Xenopus tropicalis: one gene and its partners. The protein of the gene in region 3 binds, or shares a complex with, the protein of the main gene of each other region. Links are inferred from orthologs where the notes say so. Each region holds a gene or a part of one and is shown on either strand. Other genes may lie near its edges.

The links.
Region 1: med13l (region 3) and med19 share a complex: the UniProt entries of both Homo sapiens proteins name them as parts of the mediator complex. The link is inferred for Xenopus tropicalis from reciprocal best matches to the Homo sapiens genes MED13L and MED19.
Region 2: med13l (region 3) and med25 share a complex: the UniProt entries of both Homo sapiens proteins name them as parts of the mediator complex. The link is inferred for Xenopus tropicalis from reciprocal best matches to the Homo sapiens genes MED13L and MED25.
Region 4: med13l (region 3) and med18 share a complex: the UniProt entries of both Homo sapiens proteins name them as parts of the mediator complex. The link is inferred for Xenopus tropicalis from reciprocal best matches to the Homo sapiens genes MED13L and MED18.
Region 5: med13l (region 3) and med21 share a complex: the UniProt entries of both Homo sapiens proteins name them as parts of the mediator complex. The link is inferred for Xenopus tropicalis from reciprocal best matches to the Homo sapiens genes MED13L and MED21.
Region 6: med13l (region 3) and ccnc share a complex: the UniProt entries of both Homo sapiens proteins name them as parts of the mediator complex. The link is inferred for Xenopus tropicalis from reciprocal best matches to the Homo sapiens genes MED13L and CCNC.
Region 7: med13l (region 3) and med8 share a complex: the UniProt entries of both Homo sapiens proteins name them as parts of the mediator complex. The link is inferred for Xenopus tropicalis from reciprocal best matches to the Homo sapiens genes MED13L and MED8.

The regions. Positions count from the first base shown.
Region 1 is NC_030683.2:55,878,314-55,881,813, forward strand, and holds part of med19 (mediator of RNA polymerase II transcription subunit 19), read left to right. Parts: intron 1-225; coding exon 226-359; intron 360-3,500. UniProt on the Homo sapiens protein: Component of the Mediator complex, a coactivator involved in the regulated transcription of nearly all RNA polymerase II-dependent genes.
Region 2 is NC_030683.2:117,441,895-117,444,693, reverse strand, and holds the end of med25 (mediator of RNA polymerase II transcription subunit 25), read left to right. Parts: intron 1-100; coding exon 101-308; intron 309-1,714; coding exon 1,715-1,824; 3' UTR 1,825-2,299; downstream 2,300-2,799. UniProt on the Homo sapiens protein: Component of the Mediator complex, a coactivator involved in the regulated transcription of nearly all RNA polymerase II-dependent genes.
Region 3 is NC_030677.2:145,412,000-145,415,499, forward strand, and holds part of med13l (mediator of RNA polymerase II transcription subunit 13-like), read left to right. Parts: intron 1-54; coding exon 55-243; intron 244-1,195; coding exon 1,196-1,419; intron 1,420-1,864; coding exon 1,865-2,007; intron 2,008-2,085; coding exon 2,086-2,244; intron 2,245-3,426; coding exon 3,427-3,500. UniProt on the Homo sapiens protein: Component of the Mediator complex, a coactivator involved in the regulated transcription of nearly all RNA polymerase II-dependent genes.
Region 4 is NC_030678.2:78,270,751-78,274,483, reverse strand, and holds the end of med18 (mediator of RNA polymerase II transcription subunit 18), read right to left. Parts: intron 1,292-3,733; coding exon 738-1,291; 3' UTR 501-737; downstream 1-500. UniProt on the Homo sapiens protein: Component of the Mediator complex, a coactivator involved in the regulated transcription of nearly all RNA polymerase II-dependent genes.
Region 5 is NC_030679.2:3,066,179-3,070,178, reverse strand, and holds the start of med21 (mediator of RNA polymerase II transcription subunit 21), read right to left. Parts: upstream 2,801-4,000; 5' UTR 2,775-2,800; coding exon 2,733-2,774; intron 1,181-2,732; coding exon 1,066-1,180; intron 1-1,065. UniProt on the Homo sapiens protein: Component of the Mediator complex, a coactivator involved in the regulated transcription of nearly all RNA polymerase II-dependent genes.
Region 6 is NC_030681.2:82,030,211-82,034,507, forward strand, and holds the start of ccnc (cyclin-C), read left to right. Parts: upstream 1-1,497; 5' UTR 1,498-1,632; coding exon 1,633-1,664; intron 1,665-3,119; coding exon 3,120-3,226; intron 3,227-3,427; coding exon 3,428-3,512; intron 3,513-4,280; coding exon 4,281-4,297. UniProt on the Homo sapiens protein: Component of the Mediator complex, a coactivator involved in regulated gene transcription of nearly all RNA polymerase II-dependent genes.
Region 7 is NC_030680.2:88,535,262-88,539,334, forward strand, and holds the start of med8 (mediator of RNA polymerase II transcription subunit 8), read right to left. Parts: upstream 2,801-4,073; 5' UTR 2,742-2,800; coding exon 2,736-2,741; intron 1-2,735. Other genes in the region: KICSTOR complex protein SZT2, read left to right, coding at 2,954-2,977. UniProt on the Homo sapiens protein: Component of the Mediator complex, a coactivator involved in the regulated transcription of nearly all RNA polymerase II-dependent genes.

The DNA of each region.
Region 1 (3,500 bases), on a different chromosome or scaffold from region 3:
ATATATATATATATATTTATATTTACATTTTGGTCCCATAGCAAATTGACCAAACTAAGGCCTGTGGCCTTGTTCTTTTATATCCTCATCCTTGACTGAAATAATAATTTGTAAGTAAAATAAAAATTAACAAATAAAATAGCAATGTTATAGTTTGGACTAGAAAGCAGAGTATGTAATAAAACTAATTAACGAAAGTGGCATTTCTGTGTCTACTTTTTGTAGGTATGATTGATACTCCAGGCGCTCAGGATAACAGCAGTCTACGTTCACTGATTGAAAAGCCACCGATCTGTGGAAACTCCTTCACTCCACTAACAGGTGCCTTGTTGACTGGATTCAGACTGCACACTGGACCAGTGAGTATAATGTTTTTTTTTTTTTTGGTGCTCAGGGAATAACAGACAAAAAGGGTGGGGGGAATAAAGCATTAGTTAGGTAACATAAACCAATTAATAAATATTTTTATGAATAGTTTATTTAGATAAAACTGGGTTTTACATATAGGCTGTTTTTATTCAACATATATTTATTTATTTTTTTATAGAGATGCACATTGTTCAGGTATATAGTTTTCTTTATACTTGCTTTGGCCAGGCAGTACCTACAAAGCTTTGGTATGATGCAAAATTTTTTAATCTAATATATAGTGATAATAGTTACTTCAACATTTTATATAATTATTGTGATAATAGTCTTTAACTTTTAGACACTTTTTGTGCAGAGTTCTTAAAATCTGACTACTTGCTAAACAGTCAGATATTAATTGTAGTAGAAAAGGTAGTTTCCAGTTAAGGAAAATGGCAGTGACCGTACATTTTGTTGCCTGTGCTACTGTGGGTGACAAAACTTCCCATCAGCAGTAATATGTAACACCAGTGGGGGGAAAACGTGTTGCTTACGCTTTCTAAAGTAGCCCAAAGTTGCCTCATGAGGTAAATTCAGGCTACTTTGCAACTCTGTACAGAATCATCATTTCAGTATACAATAGCAATACAAGCACTGTCTATTCTCATGTGGCCTTGCCAACATGGGTGGATTTCTTTTTTTAAAGGAACTGTAACACAATTTTTTTCCCTTCAAAATATCCTTTCTATACACTTTGATTATTAAATAAATCATATAGAAATTTCCATAGCAGTTGTGTTTTTTTACGTCTCTGATTTCCTCTCCATGCCCCATCTGCTAATAGCGAAAAATCACTCAAAATAGACTCTGAAGAATGCAGCATATTAACTTCCAGATTAAACCGAAAGTCTAGCAGTTACCGGATTGCCTTTTCAAGCTCTGCACAGTAAAGCATTGGTAATGTAATTTATTCTGAAATCACGTAGAATATTGCATTTTTTTAAATGCTACATATCTTAATAAAGTATTTAGAAGGGACATGTTAAAAGTTATTTTTTGTGTTACTGTTCCTTTAAAGAGATATTGACGCTTAAAATAAAACTGTCTTTTAAATAAATCATTACATTGTCTGTGAATCATCTTTATAATTTTGCCAAAACATAATTCCTGATGCTTTTACATTACCTATCTGATCCCCATGTTCCTCTATCAGGGGGCATTTGTGCAGCAGAAGTCCGTTAGCATTAGAAGCTATAACTGACAGGTTGAAAAGGAACAGTCAGGTTCAGGAACTTTAAGTAACACTTACTTACAAAAGGAGCCCTATCGGTGAAAAATGGTCAAAATGACCCATAGGCAACTTTTTATATACATTAATATTTTCAAAAGTAGTTTTTTCATGTCAGTATCACTTTGAGGTTTTGGGAGATTACGCCCCCTCTAAACCTGCCAGTCAATAATAATCAAAAGTGACAAAAAAAAATTCTGACCTCTTGCCTGTACCTGCTGTTCCTCAGCAGGAATATCTCTTCCAAGACATAAGAGGCCTGCTCACTAGATCTCCCTGACTGTACACAGAGAAACAGCTGCCAGGGTAACTGTACAGACAAGAACCAAGTATCCTCTACCTAGTGGGGCAATGCCAAAATGTGAAAAATATTTCACCTGACAAATACCCTCTCGATGACAGAAATGGCTATTTTTATGCAGCGCTGCTGGGGTTACCTGTCAGGTGAGACACCAGTGGGGGAGGGGGGGCACACCACAATGTTTTTGGGAAAAATGTGCCACAGTCACAGTTTCGTCACATGTAATAAGGGCAAGATGCACACTTCCCTCTCATTAAAGCACTTGTGTTTTAAAGGAGAAGGAAAGGTAAAAACTAAGTAAGCTTTTTCAGAAAGGTCTATGTAAATAAAGCCATAAGCACTCACAGAAAAGCTGCACTCTATCAAAAGAAACTGCGGATTTCTTGTCTCCTTTTTTGTAAACATGTTCTTGGGGTATCTGATTTCTTCTCAGAAAAATCCTTCATTCTAGGTGCCAGTGTCTGCGCAGTTCTCTCATTTCTCCCCTCTCCTCCTCCCCCCTTCCATAAGAATTCATAAAACTCACTCCTCCTACCCTGGATGCGTAGTGTGACGTTACATGAATTGTGTACTTTACGTTAAAACATATGCAACCATTGTATCAAGCAATGACAAGGCAGAGCAGTGTGAAGGGTTTAAAATTGGGGCAAACTCCCGTGACCCCCAATAAATTGTCTGACTTCACCTGGACCCCTGAGCAGTTACAGAGGGGTTCAGTGTAAACTGTTGTGATACTGCCGGGGTAATCCCTCTGTTTAGGGATGGTTTTTCCAGGCATGCATAAATGTCCTCTTTCACACCTCTTTAAAACCATCTGTCCTCTCTGTCCAAAATATGCACATCACCGTCCTCAAGAGTGTCCTTTTTCCTTGAGGTGTAAATAGACTGTTGAGTCTTGTCCTGAGGAGTTAGCCCTCCTATGTTGGGCCATTCTCTTACAGAGAGGTTGTTTTGTCTCCCCAGTGTATATGTCAGAGCACTCTTCACTGCACTGCACTGGACAGCATAGACCAGTATTCAGACTTAGGTCCAGTAAGGAACAAACGTGTTCTGGGTTCAGCTTTGTTCTGCTGCTGAGGGGGGGGTGTCTTGTTTCAGCCGTTTCCTCACTGTTTCAATTGCCTCGGTAGTGGGTATGCATGTGAACAGAGATGTAACATCAGAGGACACCATTGTTTCATTGATATCCAGATTTAACTCCTGGACTTTTTTGACAAAGTCCATGGAGCTCTGAATGTGGTGTACTATGTTTCCAACTAAGGGAGCTAAGATGTTAGCCTGAGGAACATTGCTAAATTTGTGGCCAACTCCTCAGGACAAGACTCGGCAGTCTATTTACACCTCAAGGAAAAAAAGACTTAATTCTGCTAAATACTGTACATACCGAAGTTGTTTTTAAACTATCAAAATGTATTCAAACATCTGTTAACCCTTTCACTGCCAGGGGTTTTGGACAAAGCGGAACTTGTACTGCCAGACAGTTTTTGAACATTTTGCACTGTTTCACTTTAGGGGCCTTTCCTCGGGGGGACTTTTAGTTTACCCAGGAAAACAATACATTGT
Region 2 (2,799 bases), on a different chromosome or scaffold from region 3:
AAAATGTTGTTCTGGTCCAAGGCGTGAACATTTGAGCAAGTCACTAAGACAGAACCATTGTACAAGAACTAAATATCCATTTCGTTGTTCTGTTTTACAGCCACAGACCAGTGTCCCACAAACACAGCAGCCTTTGCACCATATGCAGCAAGCGGCTCAGGGCATGCTTCCCCATCAGGCCATGGGCCAACAGATGCAGCACCAGGCTCCCGGCCAGCAGCAACTCCAACTCCCGGGGCAAACACTTATGCACCAAGCCCCCGCGCAGCAATGGGGGAACCAGATGCAACAGAGAGCACCAATTCCAGGTGAGGAGGTTTCACACCAGGGGAAACGGCAGTAGCAAGAGTGGCAATAATTGGTCCAGGCAGGTCACTTCACACTGTTGCCCACTCACAGTTTGCATTGCCCTTTAAACAGACACCCTGAGAAATTCATTTACAGCAGGCTAGGGGTTTTATGATCCCCAAGGAGTGGCTCAGGGGCAACATTTTGCTCCCCAACCCCTTGGATGTTGCTCTCAGTGCCCCCTGACTTGGGGGCAAGTTTTGGTTGAATAAAAACAAGCTTTCCTACCAAATAAAGCCCCCTGTAAGCTGATAGGGTGCATAGAGGCTGCCTAATAGCCAATCACAGCCCTTATTTGACTCCTCCATGAACTTTTATGGTGCTTGTGTTGCTTTTCACGTCTGTTTACATTTGACTGTGGCTCACAACAACAGTTGAGGACCACTGGCCTATACTAATACTTGTATCTTATTTTGATCCTTATATCATCTCATCGTTGGGAGGTATACATATAGGATTCTATTTTCTTCATCTCCTTGTTTCATTTTGTACAACACAAAGTAAATCCTGCAGGTCTGACCACTTTAAAAGCTTCCTGTATATATTACCCATCATTCTTTGTGAACCCACCATTGACCATACTGTACAGGTGTTCTAGATTATATAAGTGACCGAGAAACACCCTAACCTGAGGTCTTTATCATTAATTAGTGCTTTTTAAATGATAAATAAACCTTTATAAAATAAGTAAATGTAAAATTATTCTAAGCACTTTTGCAATTTACATTAATTTTTTTATTCCAAGATATTAAGGGAAATGTGTACTGTTAATACAAATGAATTTTGCAACAAAGGCACCACCTGTTGGTCAGTTTCCGACCATGATGTCACCAAGGAAGTTGTCAGGCGAAAGAAAGAGGGCTGCTCTGATGTTCTTCTGCTTAGGAAAGGTCATCTGAGGTTTCTAATGATTTTCCTAAGCAGAAGAACATCAAACCAACCCCTCTTTCTTTCTCCTGACAACTTTCTTGACTGGATCATGGACAGAAACTGACCAGTAGGTGGTGCTGTGTAACAAAATTCATTTATATTGACATTAATGTTTGGTTTCAAAAAGGTAAATGATACCTGCTGGATGGCTGTTGTGGGTAACTATCAGACTTTGGGGCATATTTATTATAGTGTATTGGCTTATACACTATAAAAATAATCCCCTTAGTGTAGACTTGCAAGACATTTATTTCATTGTGCTGCATATTTCACAGGGAATTTCCTTCATAAACCTTCAGGAATTGGCCTGAATGGTCATTGTGTGCATTCCGTTGCTATGGTATTACTATAAAACAATCCCTATCATACTAAGGTATAAAGGTTCAGAAGCCTGAAGCAGTCTGTTTGACACTTGTGCTTTGTTTTTCTGCTTTAGGGACACTGATGATGAGCGCGGGACCTCGAGGCCCTGTCCCTCAGCAAGGCCTACAGCAAGTGCAGGCTCAGAGTGTCATGGAAGACGACATCCTAATGGACCTTATTTGAGGATAAGCTAAGGAAATGAGACTCTACTGCCTCCAAAATGATATGAATCCTGCAGGATTTTTCTGAATTCATCAGCTATGAATCACCTCTTGTCATTTCCTCGCCTTCTTGATTTATTAACCGACAGTAGCCTAAATAGGAATTCATAGGGCGTGTTCAGACTCATCTGGTCAGAGTCGCTAAACTGTTGAAAGCTGCTTGGCCTCCTGGTTCCTGTGTCGGCAGTTTGGTCCCCATACAGGTGGGTATAGAACTCTATCCTCACTGGTGCTTATATTTACCGGTGGGATTGGTCCCTGTTTCCAGGAAGTCACGGACAACTAACTGAACTGCTTCAGTTTTGACCATTGTTGACTCACACGTCCTTTTTACAACACGTAGCAGACTTTTCTTTTGTTATATTGTAAAATGAGCTTTTACAGGTATAAAATAAGATATGCCATGAAAAAAAAAAATAAAAAAACGTTTTAGAAAATCCATTGTGGTCATTTTAGCCCATAGTGAAGTATCGCTCCAGTAAGTCGTCTCACAGTGTATGGGAGGGTACTGCCTGGGGTTATGGATTACAATCAATACAAGAAATGAAAGGGATATACAATATTGCTAGTTACCTAGCTGTCTGAAACATATGTATGTAACACAGGGCAATATTTTATCTGCATGTGTGGTCGACTGGTATTCTACTGCTGTCATAGTTAATGTGCCAAGAAGCCACCACTCTGTTGTGCATTTATTGATACCGAAGAGCCAGAAATCTTATCCTAAAGCAGTTTTCTGCCTTCCCTGGATTCTGCACGTCTTTTAAAAGGAAGCTTCAGTGCCATAAAGCGTGAGTTAATCGCTGTGATTGGACAAGTATATTTACCTCTTTAATGAAGATCGAACTGGAGGGTTCCAACCTGGTACAGACCAACTGTTTCACAGACTTGTTTGTATGATGTCTCTATTGCCTAGCCTTATGGTATCTCTGTGTAC
Region 3 (3,500 bases):
TTTAATTAAAAATTTGTGGTCATCAACAATATCTTACCCTACTCTCTTTTTCAGGTGGTTCCCTGCCATTCTCTTCTGCAGACTGTAAATGATGAAGTGGTCTCCTACATTCAGCACTTGAAGTCTTTAGCTTTTTCTGTATACTGCCAGTGCCGGCGACCCATAGCCACACAAATACCCATCAAGCCTCTCACTGGCTTTGGTCCAGCAGCCGCTCTAAATGCAATACTCAGGAATCAAGAGGTGATTATTTTAGAAACTGCTTGATGCATGTACAGTGATTATTTTTAAACCACAAATATCTGCAAAAACAAACACAAATATGTGCAGTAACCCACTAAAACCAGTTTTTGTTTGGTTTCTACTAGAAGTTGGAAAATAAAAATAAATGATTGGTTGCTGTTTTTTTTGCGCCTGTGTTTGTAAATCAGCCCACTCAGTGAATTGCAGTTCTGCCTACAGTTTGTAAACAGTATGTGGGTGAAAGACTCAGACATTTCATAGAAATATAAAGAATGATATACAAATTGTTATATAAGTTTAGTACTGTTAGGGGCTCTGTTATATAGATTACTTGGAACCTGGGGTTTTCTAGATTTTTTTTTTCTTCCATTTTGGATCACCATACCTTAAGTTAACTAAAAAGAAATCTTAACATTGACATTAAATAAATCCAATAGGATTGTTTTGCAGCAGTATGAATTTATTTAGCTTAGTTACAAGGTACTGTTTTATTACAGTGCAGATGGAAATAACTAAAAAATTAACTGCATGGGGGATGGCAAAGTTTTTCAATAAGAGATCCCATACCTGTAAAAGTGATGAAATGCCAATGGAAAAAATGGAGAGGCATAGAAAAATTGTTGGAATTAGCGGTTGAATTATAGGTTAATGGTGGACAGGGTTAGAATGCAGTCATACTACTATACAAAGGCCACTTACTTGCTGGTTTGGTATGATTTTTTAGTTGGCCAAAACAATCAGATTTTCAAATAGCCCAATGCAATCCTTTGGTAAATTTAGCACACCACTGTATATGCAAAAGTGAGCTACTGCTGTACCACTGCTGTAAAAGGAAATTAATGTAAGGTTCTAGACTCTGAGTGATGTTAAAATAAACATTTGCATGTGATCTTGAAGTCAAAAGAGAAGTAAATATTGCACGTTCCTAACTTCTGATTTTCATGCCTGACAGCAACCTAGCCCTGGACAGATGTATTCTCCTCCATTTTTGCTCTCCCCCACCAAGGACAAGCAGACAGAGTTGGGTGAGACATTTGGTGAAGCTGGACAGAAATACAATGTGCTGTTTGTAGGTTACTGCTTATCTCATGATCAGCGCTGGCTTCTGGCGTCCTGCACCGACCTGCAAGGAGAGCTTCTGGAAACTTGTGTTGTTAATATCCATGTGCCCAACAGGTTGGTAAAAATATTCTGTATGTCTTAGTTCACACAAACAGCAAGAACAACCATATACTTCTGCTGATATGCTACAGTATTGACTTACTGTAATTGCTTCTCCTAGTGTCCCTGAGAATTATATATGCTGTTTCTGTGGATAGAAGGAGCAGGTAGAAAATGTAGCTAAAAGTAATATTACATTGATAATTGTCTAGAAGAACCATCAGAATGCATAATGGTAGAATGGACATAAAGAATTGTCTTCTGTTAGAGTTTTTTTTTTTTTTTTTTTTTAGAAACTCTATTATCACACTTTATATTTTTTTGGTGTGTTGATAACTGAAAAGTGAAGTGCTAATGTGAAAAAGACTAGAGACTGTATTATATAGTTCTTGTCAAGCTAGTCTTGCAGTAAGTCTATGTGAATATTTTGATCAGTAAAATAATTGTAATCACTTCTCAGGTTTCGGAGGAGCAAAGTTTCAGCAAGAAAGATAGGGCTGCAGAAACTATGGGAATGGTGTGTGGAAATTATACAGACAACATCATTACCCTGGAGAGTGGTGATTGGCCGTCTTGGACGACTAGGCCATGGCGAGCTGAAAGGTATATAGGTAAAATTAGTGAGCTGTTATATCAGCAACCAGTGACTGATTGCCTAAGACTATTCTGTTCCCTTTGCAGATTGGAGTATTCTGCTTGGAGAGTGCTCTCTACAGACCATCAGTCGTCAGTTAAAAGAAACATGCAAAATGTGTGGAATCTCAGCAGCTGATTCTCCGTCTATACTTAGTGCCTGTCTCGTAGCAATGGAACCCCAGGGATCTTTCACTGTCATGCCTGGTGAGACTTATCTTTTCTGTATTCACCTAAAACATCTGCCCTTTGGATGAAGGGAAAATGGTAGTTTTGCATTGCTATTCAGAGATTGATCTTTACTGTGATTTACTGTGAATACCATGATATTACCTATGATTATTTGCTATAACAACACATCAGCACTGACATGTGTCCTTTTAGGGGACATTGAGTTAAGTTCCTTCTTGCAGGAAACAGCAATTTTAGAATGGGTAACAGACTTGCTAATATTTTTACACATCCTGAGCAGTGCATTGTAGGCTTTGATGTTTTTTGGGTAGGAGTGGCTGTCCAAGGGATTTGCATGGCCCTCTGTCTGTCCAAGCTGCATTGCATGCCATCCTAGTTTAATTATAATTGACCCATAAACATGTTCATTATGAACTTGCTGACCACTGTCTTTCTTTGTGTATTTCAGTCTGTTGGTAATGTCATTATTAGTTTTTATGTGACTCAACACAGTATGGCACCCAGCATTAAACAGTTATTACACTGAGATTTGACATTTCATTTCAAAACAAAAATGTCAAAATGTCCTGCCTATCTTGTTGAGCCAGAGGGAAATTCTTGCAGGTGCCTATGATGCAGAATGATGCAGAATGATGCAGTTCTACTAAAGTATTCATGAATGTAATAATATGACTTTGTTTGTCTTAGAGTGTGTTCAGGCATGGCAATGCTGTTCCTGTCTCACCGGGAAGTGAAAGTCCAAGCTATTTAACCTTAATGAGTACCTTCAGTAGATTAGGAAGCATCTTGGCTTCTGTTTTTCAGACTAATATCACTGATTGCAGTGACTGTACCCCATGTGTGATGTCAGGAATAGAGTGCAAGTTGCTACATTTGCCTGGCATCTCTCATCTCTGGATTACAATAAGGTTCAATTTCAGGGCTGAAGATGTATGCTCTAAATGTGTTAGTGTCTGTCTCAGTGAACAGAAAGACTACAACAACATTGTTTTTTGTATTTATGACCCCCAAAATCCTGTCACAAATCATAGGTATTTTGATAATAAAAAAAATAATAATGGTACAGAATTCCTGTGTAAATGCATTTTAGGTGTTTTCATTTTCTGGTGTTACTGGACCTTTAAAAACCACTCGCCAGTGTAACTACATTGTATCACATATGATTTGTTCTCTGAAGCGTGCATGCTTTTCTCACAGATGCTGTCACTATGGGTTCAGTGTTTGGCCGCAGCACAGCTTTGAATCTACAGACATCTCAGCTGAGCACTCCA
Region 4 (3,733 bases), on a different chromosome or scaffold from region 3:
GCACCCCCAAGTGACTTTGCCTTTCCTTCTCCTTTAAGTAATAATAAATTGGTAACATCATAAACCGTAACAGGCAACTCAAGCTTAGCAGCTGTGTGTATGATTGCAAGAGAATCTACATTATTGTCAATGGGAAAGCTATTTCAGAAGATTAGTCACCACAGGGTAGAGCAGATTTATCGCAGGCAACTAATCCCAACATGTGCCATAGACCTAAAAATTATTATGTAGATATCCGCTTTCAAGTACAATGTGACAGACTTAATTTTTTATTTTTTTTGCAACTCTCATGCTTTGAAATTCAATTGCTATCTGGTTACTAGAGCTTAACTACCCTAGCAACCAGGCAGCAGTTTGACTATCAGAATGGGAGATCAATAGGGGAGTGCCTGAAAAAATGATAAGTAAAAAAAGCTAAAAATTACATGGATCTTTCAAAGTAAATATGTGTAAAAATGTTTTAAATTTGCAGGTCAGGAGGACAATACTGAACACAACAGGAAAAATAAAACAAATTTAATAATAAAACAGATCATTCTATTTCTGGTCTGCACAATACAGTGGCAGATGCTGTTCTGTGTCACAATGAAACCAGCAGAACTTGACATTGGTCCCTTTACAGTCAAGAGGAATTTCATGCCATCTCAGCTCATGAGAAAAACCAATGAATTATGGCAGTGTAAACGGTTTTCACCAGAAACACACAATCTTGAGTCTTGTTTTTTGGAATGTCCCCTTTACATCAGACGTTTAGGGTCTATTTTCTCCAGCTGCACGAGTGGTCTGAGCTGTTCTGCAAACCCCCTGACTTCATCAGCTATATTGTCTTGACCAGCTGGCGCCACTGCACTAAGCTCTACAAGGTATGAAAGTGACAAGGGTTCAGCACCCTCTGCTGCTCCTGCTACCAACACCCGAAACACCTTGTACACTGCCACCTTCATAACCCCTTTCCTGAACAAGTGGCCGCGTGCCACAAACTCATGGTCCATACGAAAGCCCATCTCCTGCAGAAATTCAGGAAGAACATCTGAGGTGGCAATGTCAACACAATTACGCACTAGCGTGTGGCGGCTTCTGTCTCCAGCCTCAGGCTGACCCAGATACCTAAGGTGCCATGGAGCACCTGGCCGATCCAAAGGGCGACGTGCTCGTAGCACAAAGGGGCTGGCCTGCTGACCCTTGAGAAGGTAGACACTCTCATGATCTGCAAATGTCTCAGGTTCCATATTGTCACATAAACCACGTAAACGATGGAGGAGGCTCTCTAGACCCTGGTCAAGAATACTACCTGAAAAAAAAAAAATTAAAGGCTTTAATATGTGATAACAGTTACTGCTAAAGTTAATTAGGCTTCCAAAAAGTGATTAAGCAAGAAAAACTGTTTTGTTAATGGCAAAACCATGGAAAGTTTTGGCTATATGGTTTAGGATTCAATGCTACTGGAGCAGTGGAAACTAATTCTCAATTTGCAGTTTACCTCTGGTAATCTGGCAATCTGACCAACAGGTCTTTGTTTGGTGAATACCAATTAAATGCTTTCTGCAATAATTCATAATACCTACTATAAAAGTTTGGTGGAGGAACAATGGTCTGGGGCTGTTTTTTAGGACTAGGGCCCCTAGTTCCAGTAAAATGTATGTAAATACATACATACATACATAAAAGCAAACCAAGGTATGATGACATTCTTGACTGTGCTGCCTACCCTGTGGCAGTTTAAATGGGAAATAAATGGACAGAAACAACTTTGCGACATTGCATTTAGCACATTATAAAATTGAACAAAAGAAAAACGTATCTTTTTTAATTGCCAGAAAACATGCCACCACTTCTTATCCTTTGTACTTCAACTGTCAGCTTCAGTCTAAAGTCCAAGGGTGCCAATGGCACAGCCCAAATAGCATCTTAACACTTGAAATTCCAGCAGAACCCTGTAACCAGACAGCATTGCTGGTTTGTACCACCATGTAATTGCCTGCTATCCTTCTGAGCTTTGCAGTCATAATACAAACAAGTGCTCTTGCTTCTGTGACAGGGGTCGCTGCTGGAATTTAAAGTGCAAATTCTTTTTAGGAGTCAAATTCTAGCCATTCTAGTAGCTGGGTGGCAATGTAGCAGAGAGGTTAACTTATTAAAATGAGTTACAGCTATTTGAATAAAGCAGAGAAAACCAACCTTTGATACTATACTAACACCCTTGGTTTCAGAATGAGAGGTTAGGTGTCAGGAGAGTTTTGGTAAAAAATGTACCTATAGAAATAATGTTGTACAGAAAGGTGCAAAAAAGGATAAATAGATTTGAAGGAGCAAGGTGGGAAAAGAACCTTAAGGCTACACATCCTGCAGGCAACTTTGTGCGACTTTGGAAAGCTGAAGTGATGCATAGACTTTTCCACCTGGCGACTCCTATTGCTGCCGGTGGAAAGGCAACCAATCAGCAGGTAGAATATACTGGTTACCCGATTAAAAGCAAACATCTTATTGCTTTCTATGGGTTACTGCTCCTGAGCTACCGAGTGCCTCTTCTTACATATGGGGGTTGGTGAGTTAAAACAAATTTACCTATTTAATACACTAGGAGCCCCAACATATTGGCACCTCCAGTGAATTAACCTTTCCTTGCCTATTTAAATACATTAACTAGATTGCCCCTTTAACTTGTGATACAAAAAAAACGGGTGCTGCATGAGTGGCTATAAAAGTTGATCTTTCACAGTTTAACATTTTTTGAACTTCTAAATTATTTACAAAATCAGATGCATCAATCAATAAGCTTTCTGCAGATATCAAAATTGTGTTCTTCCACCTACAAGATTCTAGAAATCATTTGTAAGGTAATATGTATGTGCATTTACTTATTTGTTTGATTTATTATGTACCTTTCTGTTGTAAAGCTATTTTTACCCTGGGGCACAGGCACTATAAAAAGAAATACATACACCTGCTCGAGAAAACTGGTTTCTCTGCAATAAAACTTATTTGTAAGTGGATGAAATCCTTATACAAAACATTTTGCCAACCTATTCTATTTACATAGAGTATGAACTTTAGTATTTTCAGATAACTAGAAATGACTCTAAAGCAGGAATAGAGAGCCTTTTCTGGTGTTGTTGAAATAGCTGGGTGTGTACATCATGGCTTAGTGTGACCATAGACATGTCAATGCAATGCAGTATCTGAACACATACATACTGTCCAGGGCATGTGCAACTTTCTGTTGTTCTGTTTGTTTGGGACAGCAATAACAGGAGCTGCAGCTCTTATTCACTAATTTATCAGTTGATGCACCCAGCACTGGTGGATATGGTGTGTTGTTATATTAAATTAGCAAACCTGCCCAACTAATGTACCAACAAATGTCTAGTGTACACAGATATAGGTCAGAACGTGTAAAAAAAATAAAAAAATATATACTAAATCATACTTAATGTCATGTTTTTTAAATTGTTATAATTATTGCATGTATTAATAAAACAACTACATATTCCACAGCATTGTAAAATAAATGGGTGTATGCATGAAAAATTAAAGAATAGTCTCACAAACAGCCACTAAAATGTGCTGGAGAAAATGTGGACAGGAAGGGACTCGTGCACACCTGGTGGAACTGCCCTAAAATACAAAAGTACTGGCAAGAAGTATTTGAGTTAACAAGTAGTGTTATTAAAGGAACAGTAACCTCAAAATATGAAAGCGTATAAAAGCAATAACAATATAATGTACTGTTACC
Region 5 (4,000 bases), on a different chromosome or scaffold from region 3:
TGAACTTCCCCTACAGAGGCCCATAGCAACAGACTGGGAAACGAGTATGAAGGCACTAAAGCAGAACAATCGATATAATGTTTTGATATAAATATAGGGGGGAGTGTATTTCCTGGTACCCATGTGACTGTCTCTGCTTCCTGTGCACGGGGGAGTGTATTTCCCGGTACCCATGTGACTGTCTCTGCTTCCTGTGCACGGGGGAGTGTATTTCCTGGTACCCATGTGACTGTCTCTGCTTCCTGTGCACGGGGGAGTGTATTTCCTGGTACCCATGTGACTGTCTCTGCTTCCTGTGCACGGGGGAGTGTATTTCCTGGTACCCGTGTGACTGTCTCTGCTTCCTGTGCACGGGGGAATGTGTTTCCCGGTACCCATGTGACTGTCTCTGCTTCCTGTGCACGGGGGAGTGTATTTCCTGGTACCCATGTGACTGTCTCTGCTTCCTGTGCACGGGGGAATGTGTTTCCCGGTACCCATGTGACTGTCTCTGCTTCCTGTGCACGGGGGAGTGTATTTCCTGGTACCCGTGTGACTGTCTCTGCTTCCTGTGCACGGGGGAGTGTATTTCCTGGTACCCATGTGACTGTCTCTGCTTCCTGTGCACGGGGGAGTGTATTTCCTGGTACCCGTGTGACTGTCTCTGCTTCCTGTGCACGGGGGAATGTGTTTCCCGGTACCCATGTGACTGTCTCTGCTTCCTGTGCACGGGGGAGTGTATTTCCCGGTACCCATGTGACTGTCTCTGCTTCCTTTGCACGGGGGAGTGTATTTCCCGGTACCTGTGTGACTGTCTCTGCTTCCTTTGCACGGGGGAGTGTATTTCCTGGTACCCGTGTGACTGTCTCTGCTTCCTGTGCACGGGGGAGTGTATTTCCCGGTACTCCTACCCCGTGTCTATAAACGCATTGGCTGATACACACAGAGCAGTGACAGACAGTTTCACACCCTTTGTGTGCTGGTCTGGTAGTCAGTGCTGGGGGTGTGTCAGTGCGCAGTGGGCGTGGTTACAATGGCATTTGGGTGGGTAACGGGGCAGTTTGGGGGCCACTCGCAGTCTCTCACCTTCAGTGGGGTTGGGCGGTTGGTCCTTGTTGATGCCCGTCTGGATGTTGCTGAAGGAGGCGGGGGGAGCGCACTGCTGGAGGACCCCGATGGCATTGCAGAACTGATCGGCCAGCTGGAGAGACAAAGGGGAGGGGTTACAACTCCATTCATCCAATGCCCCCCTGGCACTGAGGGAGTTAATAGGCTGGTATTAAACTGACCTGCTACATTGTGTCAGGAGTCAGAACCTGGGGGTGGAGCTGGGCACTGCTGCCAATAGCAAGTACTTATCTGTACCGGGATATATATATAGGGATTTACGGGGCTATATATGGGATATATGGGGCTATATATAGGGATATACGGGGCTATATATAGGGATATACGGGGCTATATATAGGGATATACGGGGCTATATATAGGGATATACGGGGATATATATGGGATATACGGGGATATATATGGGATATACGGGGATATATATAGGGATATACGGGGATATATATGGGATATACGGGGATATATGGGATATACGGGGATATATGGGATATACGGGGATATATATGGGATATACGGGGATATATGGGATATACGGGGATATATATGGGATATACGGGGATATATATGGGATATACGGGGATATATATGGGATATACGGGGATATATATATGGGATATACGGGGATATATATATGGGATATACGGGGATATATATGGGATATACGGGGATATATATGGGATATACGGGGATATATGGGATATACGGGGATATATGGGATATACGGGGATATATATGGGATATACGGGGATATATATGGGATATACGGGGATATATGGGATATACGGGGATATATGGGATATACGGGGATATATATGGGATATACGGGGATATATATAGGGATATACGGGGATATATATGGGATATACGGGGATATATGGGATATACGGGGATATATGGGATATACGGGGATATATGGGATATACGGGGATATATGGGATATACGGGGATATATATAGGGATATACGGGGATATATATAGGGATATACAGGGGGATATATAGGATATACAGGGGGATGTGGGATATACGGGGATATATATGGGATATACAGGGGGATGTGGGATATACGGGGCTATATATGGGATATACGGGGATATATAGGATGTACGGGGATATATATGGGATATACAGGGGGATATATGGGATATACGGGGATATATATGGGATATACAGGGGGATATATAGGATGTACGGGGATATATATGGGATATACAGGGGGATATATAGGATGTACGGGGATATATATGGGATATACAGGGATATATATGGGATATACAGGGGGATATATATAGGGATATACGGGGATATATATGGGATATACAGGGGGATATATGGGATATACGGGGATATATATGGGATATACAGGGATATATATGGGATATACGGGGATATATATGGGATGGGGCGGCGATATAATCCGCATCAGCTGAGGGAACCCTCATAGACATGGGGTTCTGGGTAATAAGATCCATTGGACACAGTGTGGGGGCTGCGAGCAATGAATGGAATAAACCATTAGTTACAATGTGACTATAAAGCCGAGATGGGACCCAACTGCGGGCAGCGAGAGGATGTATTTCCCTTCCCCACAAACCCCACAAACCCCACACACAGATAAAGCGCTCACCGAATTCAGCGCGTCCTGGAGCTGCGTCAGCCGGTCCGCCATCTTTCCAGCTGGCAAAGCCGAACCAGCCGCCCATACCTTCAGCGCCGCTTCCTATTGGCTAACTGGTACAATAAAGGTTTCTATTGGCTAAGGGTCACTGCGGCGTTTTCTCAATAGGAGGAACGAGAAACGCCTATTTCTATTGGCCAGCCTCAGTAGAGGCGGGGTTGTAACGGCGGAAAGGAGACTGCGCATGTGTACTTCTACCTACACTGGACGTTCCCTGCCAACTTGCTAAATAGCGTTCAGTGTGATACCTCTTTTGGTCGCTAGAGGGCGATGCTGCCTATTGGACAATTGTATTCAGGTTTTATATTCCATTTATGATGGAAGGGGGGGGGGGGGCCATAATCCTCCATGGGCTACACTTTTGCTGTGGAGTTGCTGCTACAGAGTCGCCAGTCTGTCTATGTTGTTTCAGGATAAATAGAATCAAGAAGAATTTAAAGAGACAGTGTTATTGGTGCCTGTGGGATTGCTGGGATTGCTCTCTAACCCTGATCCTGTTACTGGGGGGTCTCAGAGAGCGAGTAAATAAAGATAATTCCATAGAGATACAGTGGCCCTGGGGCCCCTGGTTAGCACATAAGGGCCCTAAGAAATTGGGACCCAAATTGAATATGACTTTCCCTTATTATCTGTATTGAAAAGCCTGTGTGGGCAGTGCCTGCTTAGACTTTCTTTTTTGTTATTGTGTGCCCAGAACATTCCTTCTCTGTATATTTGTATTTATACATATGGGTAGGAGGTGCCATAGTGTTTCCCTTAGACAGTACAGTATGGGGGTACAGCTTATTGTGTGCCCAGAACATTCCTTCTCTGTATATTTGTATTTATACATATGGGTAGGAGGTGCCATAGTGTTTCCCTTAGACAGTACAGTATGGGGGTACAGCTTATTGTGTGCCCAGAACATTCCTTCTCTGTATATTTGTATTTATACATATGGGTAGGGGGTGCCATAGTGTTTCCCTTAGACAGTACAGTATGGGGGTACAGCTTATTGTGTGCCCAGAACATTCCTTCTCTGTATATTTGTATTTATACATATGGGTAGGGGGTGCCATAGTGTTTCCCTTAGACAGTACAGTATGGGGGTACAGCTTATTGTGTGCCCAGAACATTCCCTCTCTGTATATTTGTATTTATACATATGGGTAGGGGGTGCCATAGTGTTTCCCTTAGACAGTACAGTATGGGGGTACAGCTTATTGTGTGCCCAGAAC
Region 6 (4,297 bases), on a different chromosome or scaffold from region 3:
ATAGAGAAGCATACAATTCCTCTTAGAGCATAGATTTTATGGGTCTTGGGGCATAAATACTATGTATTAGGTCTCTGCAGGATTGCAAATGTGCCATAGGTATGTTCAAAAGTATGTTCCAGCTGAGGACAAGGGCCAGAGGGAAAAGAGGCAGATGGAGAGGAGGTTCCTTCTATATACTGGTCCCAGTCCCTCAGCATTCATTGAGGTTAACCAAGCAATTCTGTTTTCACTTGTTTAACCCATACACAAATGTCATGTTGGGATCCAGGTAAAAGGCAGGTTTATTACAAAAAACGAATAACTGTGTAAAATGATATACAAGTTATATTTTTATGTGGGTATTTGTCTTATGAAAACACAAGTAAAGCAATGCATTCAACTGAATGCAAAACAGTTTGAATAAAATGTTCAGTTTACTTGTGTTTATTGAAGTAATCCCAGTGAAAAATCAGATAACTATATATCTGCTGTCTAATCTCGTTATACATATTCTGCTTCTGCTATATTTCTGCATGTCCCATGCTACGTACAAATCCTTTTCTCTTTTTTTCCCATTTATTCTTTTACAATTTTCTAAGGGACCAGTCTGCTCTACAATTGGTAGTCCAATTGGTAGTCCGGAAAAACGCTTGCTGAAAATACCGCATAAAAACGCAAGACTTTGCATTCTCTCAAGTTTTTATGTGTATTTCGGCTACATGTGCCTGAACCCAAGCATATTCCATTCATTCGGGTGCAGGCACAAGTAGGAGGCGTAGGGCGGTATTTTCAGGATGCATTTTTCTGCTTGCCGAAAATATACGCCCTATGCCTTGTCTGGCATTAGCCTAAGGCTGATGTCAGACGTGGCATATTCTCGGCAAGTCGAAAAACGCTTGCCGAGAATACGCCCTCTGCCTACTACCAGCTACGCTCTGGTGCAGGCACAGGTAGGAGGTGGAGGGCGTATTCTAGGCAAGCGTTTTCCGGCTTGCTGAGAATACACCACATCTGACATCAGCCTAATAATGCAAAAGGTGGCAACACATAGGCCAACCTGCCATTTATCCGATTATGGCCTACACCTGGCCAAATAACCCTGTTGCATTCCTTTGGGCCCACTAACTGATGGGAATTTCTGCTATTAGTATTTTTATGTTGGACAGATGGAGTGCAAATTTTTTGCAGAATAATCAACCTGTGTGTCATAGTCATGCATTATTTTCCAAATTGGCTAATTCTTTCCACTTTAATATAAGTCAATATAAAAAGAAGAAAAGACATGGTGAACACAGTCTTTATAAAAGTTGAGAAATGTTTTTTTACAGAAAACATAAGCAGTGAGAATTTGTGCGTTCCTTGTGAAGACACAAAAATGTAAAACTATAACCAAAAAACAGATTTGAAATCATTGAAATGTATACGTATGTTTGTTAACGCATACTTCTTTTATTCACAACTAGAGGCAGACTGAGTTCCGTGCTGGTGTGTGTTTCCACCCGGGACATATCAGCGTTGCACACTGGGTCTTCTTCCTGGAATCTCTACATTTCGGCTTTATAGACGCTAGCTGTGGGTTGTTGTGACGTTCTTGGCAGCGTCACAAGCAGCGGTCCGCTCATCCTTAGGCGGTGTTCGTTTGGCTCATTGATGGCGGGGAACTTTTGGCAGAGCTCTCACTAGTAAGCGTTGTTTTATTTGTTTTGTCTATAGGTAGTAGGCTGAGCTGTCGCCATCTTTAAAATTCCCTAGCACTTCACTATGAGCGGAAAAGATTCTAACCTGCTGCCTTGCCGTTCTCAGTATACCAGTGTTTTGAGACTTGCAAATTGTGAATTTCTTTGCCTGTAGTGAAGTACAGGCCTTTTTGTATTTGCTGTAGCCCTATAATAACCCTTTTAATAAAGTGCAAGTTGTTGTGTTAGCAATATACAGTCTGAAATGCAGAATAACTCATTGCAAATGAGGTCCAGGTCCAGCATTTGATCAGTTCCATGGCTTTGCTTATAAGCACAAAACAAAGCCCTCCATCTGTTGCACTGTTGCACATCCACTGATAACTATCAGGAGAATGCTGGGAGCTGAAGTTCCACTAAATGCCTGGGGACCTCAGGTAGGTCATTTTTGCCATTAAGACATCAAAATGGTTATTACAAGGTCACTGAAATATTAAAGGAGACATTCGTATTTTACATCAGTAAGTACATTTAAAGGGGTTGGTCACCTTTGAGTTAGCTTTTAATATGATTTAGAGAGTGATATTTGGAGACAGTTTGCAATTGGTCTTCATTTATTGTAGCTTTTTTTAGTTATTTCATTTTCATTTCAGGAGCTCTCCAGTATGGAGTTTCAGCAGCTATTTGGTTGCTAGTTACCTTAGTAACCAGGGAGCTGTTTGGATGAGAGACTGTTAAATGAATAGGAGAGGGCACAAATTGAAAAAAAAAAAAGCTACAAAAACTAACAACTATAAAACTGCCTCACAGAGCATTAGTTTTTGTGTTGCTGGGGTCTGCAAAGAGTTGGAAGAAGAAAGAGTTAGTTAGAATTGGTCATTCCGTAACATACTAAAAGTTAACTTAAAGGTGAACCACCCCTTTAAGAAGGGGTTGGATGACTTTTTACGATCCGAGCCCAGCCCTTAAGGTGGCGATTTGCGATCTTTCATGCAACCATCGGTCGCACACCGTTCAGGGCTGAAACGGCAGATAAGGAGGTAGAAACAATAGGATTTCTACCTCCTTCTGCCGATTCAGCGCTGAAGGCAGATTTTGGTCAGGCGCCTTCTATCGCGCCCGATCAAAATCTTTTAACTTGCCCGGTCGGCGAGTCGACCGATATCGGCAACCTCCTGCGATATCGGTCGACTCGCCGATTTGCCATACACACACCGAATATCGTACGAAACGAGGTTTCGTACGATATTATCGGTGCGTGTATGGCCAGCTTTAGACTTGGCCAATACATGAAACTACGGTTGGCTGAAACATGGAGATTGTGCGCAAAATTGCACTTGGCCCACTTCATCTAGGTAAGTGAATGTGCTCTATGGACTAATAAGAATTTGACAAAATAGCAGTGCAAAAGAATTGAAATGATATATTTTTCTAATTTTTTTTTTTTTTAATTTATTTTAGTTTGCAATGGATTTTGGACAAACAAGACTTATTAAAAGAACGACAAAAAGACCTAAAATTTTTAAGTGAAGAAGAATATTGGAAATTGCAGATATTTTTTACAAATGGTAATCGCATGTTTCTTTTAGAAACCTGGTATTTTATTATAGGTGCAATATTTTTATTGTGCTATGTTACTTCTGAATATAGATTGTTATTGGGATGCAACCCACTCAATAGCCCCCACACTGTTTGTTTCTCTTGCTACATTCGCATGAAACACATACTCATTTACATTAAACATTCATCTTATTTTCTTTCCTTTGCAGTTATCCAAGCTTTAGGAGAACACCTTAAATTACGACAACAAGTCATTGCCACTGCCACTGTTTATTTTAAAAGATTTTATGCCAGGTGAGTTTGCTGAGAGGGAAAGGACTTGTATGTGTTTTTGGTTTTATGGTAATGCCCTATCCAGTGCCAGCAGCACTAAGCAAAATTAGTGGTGTATGAGTGTTAAAATGTCACAATCCAGCTGTGGCTTACCACTACACCGTAGTGTCTTTCTGTGATAGTTAAGCCCAGACTTTCCTCAGGCAGTGCATATTATTTGAGTGTAATCATAGACTGGAAAAGTACAGGCTAATGACTGAACATTTAGTAAACATATACTTCGTCTAGGTAGGTGAATGTGCCCTATTAAAGGTGGCGACACACGTGGCGATCTGACGATGTTTAGTGCGACCATCGGACCACACCGTTGGGGCTGAAACAGCAGATAAGGAGGTAGAAACAATAGGATTTCTACCTCCTTCTGCTGATTCAGCCCTGACGGCAGATTTTGGTCAGGCGCCTTCTATGGCGCCCGATCAAAATCTTTTAACTGGTCCGATCGGCGAGTCGACAGATATCAGCAGCTTCCTGCGATATCTGTCGACTCACCGACATGCCATACACGCACTGAATATCGTACGAAACGAGGTTAAGACTAAGATTTTGACAAAATTTTTCTTATATTTTAGATCACGTTGTTGCTATAAAGCTGTGCTGTATCTTGTATGTATTGTTTTACATTTAATGTTTACAGATCCAACTTTTCAATTTAAATGGAATTGTTACTCTATGGTATGGCCTTTATGCACTTATGTTTTGTTGATATAATTTTTTTGTTTTTCATATTAGGTATTCTTTAAAAAGTA
Region 7 (4,073 bases), on a different chromosome or scaffold from region 3:
CTTAATTTTCCAAAGTTGCATGAAGTTTCCTGCAGGAGATTTAACCTCAGGCAACTAATCTCCCCGTGGGCCTTCATCCTAAGGTTATTGGCCCACGGGGAGATTAGTCATCCGCGATAAATCTCTGCTACTGCAACTAATCTGCCCAAAAAGCCTTTCCACCAGCAATAAAGTGAATTGCTGGTGGAAAGGCCTATGCATTGCTTTGTTTTTTTTGAAGTTGTGCAAACTTGCCTGCAGGGCTGATTATTAAATTCTGTTGTTAGCTGCACTGGTTTCAGAGCTGCCATGTAGTAATATAAGGGTATTACTATTACCCTTATATCTTGACATTTATATTCTCTATATACAGAATATTGAGTCAGCATCTAAACTCAGTAATGGACAGCAGCACATGTGCTGGGAATCAGCAGAAAAGAAGATGCAATTGCAAAAAATGTTTATGGCAGTTTTACTGTCCATATTAATCATAATTAAGAACTTCTTATGTAAGCTGCCATATGTCTACCACTAACTTTGCAGAAGGATGTAAGCTTAATGGCAGCAGTAGTATTAAAGATTGTCCATGTGATTGGTTATTGTTATAAGTAATGGAAAGCAGCAGAGCAGGAAAATTAATTTGTGCAATTTTGCAATATTTGGTGCAAATTAATGGCAACTTCTGACACAGACCTTAAGTGAAATTTGGTGGACTGACTCAAATAGTTGATGGCCCAATGCGAAAAGTACTGAAGCGCAACAATGTAATAGATTGTTGGTACAGGTATCGGACCCTTATCCAGAAACCCATTATCCAGAAAGTTCAGAATTATGGAAAGCCCATCTCCCATAGACTACATTGTAATCAAATAATTCACATAATTCCTTTTTCTCTGTAATAAAACAAACTGTACCTTTTACTTGATTCCAACTAAGATATAATTAATCCGTATTGGAGGCAAAACAATCCTACTGGGTTTAATTACTGTTTAAATAATTTTTTTAGTAGACTTAAGGTAGGAGATTCAAATTACGGAAAGACCCCCTATCCGGAAAACCCCAGGTCCCAAGCATTCTGGATAATGGGTCCCATACCTGTATAGGTAACAGCAGTCAGCATGTCAGAAGAAAAAGAGAAGTGAAAATTAAACTGAATGAAATTAGATGTCAGTTTGATGCTGTTAGTGATAAATTTCTGTTAGAAGAAGTAGAAATGAGCAGACTAAGAGAAAGAATATGTACACATTTCCATATCTACCATAGGTCTGCTGCAAATTTGACAGTGAAATTGCATGAGAACTGGGAGAGTAACAAAGAAATGGGTCCAATTCATAACAGCAGTATAGGGGGTGGGAGGAGGATAAGGTTGGACTCTCGCCTAATCATTATTATAAATTTATTTTTCCTTTTGTTCTGAGCCTGATGTCTGGGTTTATTTTCTGGGATTGTCCATTTTTAAGTCTAGTTGAATTGTTGAATGTGTTGGCTTTCAGTCCATGTAGTTCATGGGGACCATATCTTTTTCGTATGAATAAACCTTTTTTTAACCTTTGTTTTTATGCCTTTTTTAACCTCTGGCAAATGTTTAAGCTGTGAAGCACCCATCCAAAAAGAATATTATATGGTAGTTTGCACTCTTAATTATTGAAAGCAACAGGAGTGTAGAAAGGATCTAAGGTTTTTTTTTTAAATTATTATAAGCAGGAGAAGGTGTTGCATCAGTTGGATTGTTAGTGCATTTTTAAATAGCTGCCATAGATTTGTAGTTCTACAGTGGAATTGCAAAAGAACAGAGTGAATTTAGTGAAATTAGCAGAGAGTTCCAGTAGTCCAGGCGAGATATTATAAGAGAGTGAATAAGAATTTTGGCAGCATCTTGGGTGATCAATGATTGTATTTTGGAACTATTTCTTAGGTGAAAGTGACATGATTTGATAAGTGACTGGATTTCAAATGTAATTTCAGGATCACTGCCTTCTCCACCAAATAACAGACTATATCTTTCTGTAAAATACTAAGGGGCACATTTACTTTCCCATGAACGGGCCGAATGCGTCCGATTGCGTTTTTTTCGTAATGATCGGTATTTGGCGATTTTTCGGAAAATTATCGCAACTTTTTCATTGCCATTCCGAATGTTGCGCAAAATCTGGCGATTTTTTCGTAGCGTTAAAACTTACGCGAAAAGTCGCGCTTTTTTTGTAGCCATTCCGAAAGTTGCGCAAAATGTTGCGATTTTTTCGTAGCGTTCGGATTCATTCAAGCTTCAGTATGGGCCAGATTGGAGCTGCAGGGAGCCATTGAGTCCTATGGGAGGCTTCCAAAATCATGCTAAGTCTGAAAGTTTCGGCCGCCGCTTCCGAGCGCTCAATACGAAAAAGTCGCGACAAGATACGAGCGCATCGTAATGGCTACGAAAAACTCGCAAATCGTATTGGTAACGAAAAAGTCGCGACAATTTCCGAAAAGTCGTAAAGGCGCCGAAAAAAACCGCAAAAAATACGAAAAAGTTGCAAAATGTTCGTTTTCCAATCGGAATTTTTCCAATTCGGATTCGAATTCGTGGGTTAGTAAATCAGCCCCTAAATGTCAGTTGTACTACTCATTGCAGACACAAAAGGTCTACTTTACGGACGGAGTAGCGTTATTTGATAAGAACAGCTACTAAATATTTACATACAAATTAGCGAAAACAATTCCACTCCGCCTTTGCACTAACATAAACATTAATGAAACACGTCTTATGTCAATCTTACCTGCATTTTCACGTTTTCCGCCAAATCCCTCTCCTTAGGGCTATAAAGATTCCGGTCACTTCTTCCACGTTCAGACGGAGCACTTCCGGGTAAGAGCTCGCCTCTGGAAAAAAAAGAGTAATTCCGGGTCAGAGGGGGTAGGACTTGTGTACTCCAGTCTCGAATGCCTATCCGCCCCCCAGACCCGAAGACAGGGGTGGGGGGAAACTTCTGGGGACATGGCAGAAAAAGGAGATACAGAGGTACAAAGAGGGGATTGTGTACATATTAAGTACATGCGAAAGTATACGCCGCTATTTGTAGCCGGTCTGTTGTAGCCACTCCTTCCTTAAAGTGACGGCCACACATTACACGTCTGTACCTGAGTAAGCCCCCTTTGGCTGATTCCGAACATCCTAGGGATTATTAAACTGTGGCTTGCTAGCAGTTACACTATAAGTCACTGCACCAAGCTATGGGAACATGCATAGAGCTGCTGTTCCGAGAAAAGCAGAGTTTTTATTGTAGTTTGGAGAAATCAGTCATATGTTGTCTCAGGACATCCTGTTGTGTGGCTTCTGCTTGCTCTTGGAGCAGGCAATTTGTCCCCACTTGAGATGTGCGACCCTTAAGTTTCTTATGAACCAAATGGATGTTTTGCCGAACTTCCTATGCTCTTAATGAAATATCTGTATTGTGTCATGCAAATACTAAGGCAGATAACACATGCATGTTTATATATACAACTCATGTGGAAGCATTTTACCAACATTTGATCATTTTTTTTTGCTGTGGAAATCAAAGTAAAGCCGGCTATACGCCATAAAATCTGCTTGTTTGCCAAGGTTGTCAAACCAGCGTATCTTTCCCCCAATATGCCCAGCTAAGGTGAGTGATATTGGGCTAATCCAGTTGATTGGCCACAGGCAATCAGCTGACGCAGTCCTTGAATCAAACCTGACTATCAATGTCTGGTGGATTTTCTGGGAGATATCAGTTGGGTAGGCCCAATGGAAGGCCCCATGGCTGAGCTGCCGAATCAGTCTGAAGGGCCTAAATCTGCAGTTTAAGGGCTGTGACAGACGGGGAGATTAGTCGCTGCATGACAAATCTCCCCGATATGCCTTCCCACTGGCTAGAATGTAAATCGCTGATGGGATGGCATATGCGGCGCCAAAATCAGCGAAGTTTCCTCTCAATGCAACTTCAACAATTTTGGCAAATCGCTGCACCGCGTGTGCCATCCCACCGGTGATTTACGTTCTAGCCAGTGGGATGGCATATCGGGGAGATTAGTCGCCCGTGACAAGGGAGATTTCCACGTGATTTCCAAAGGGAGACATCCACGTGTGTATGATC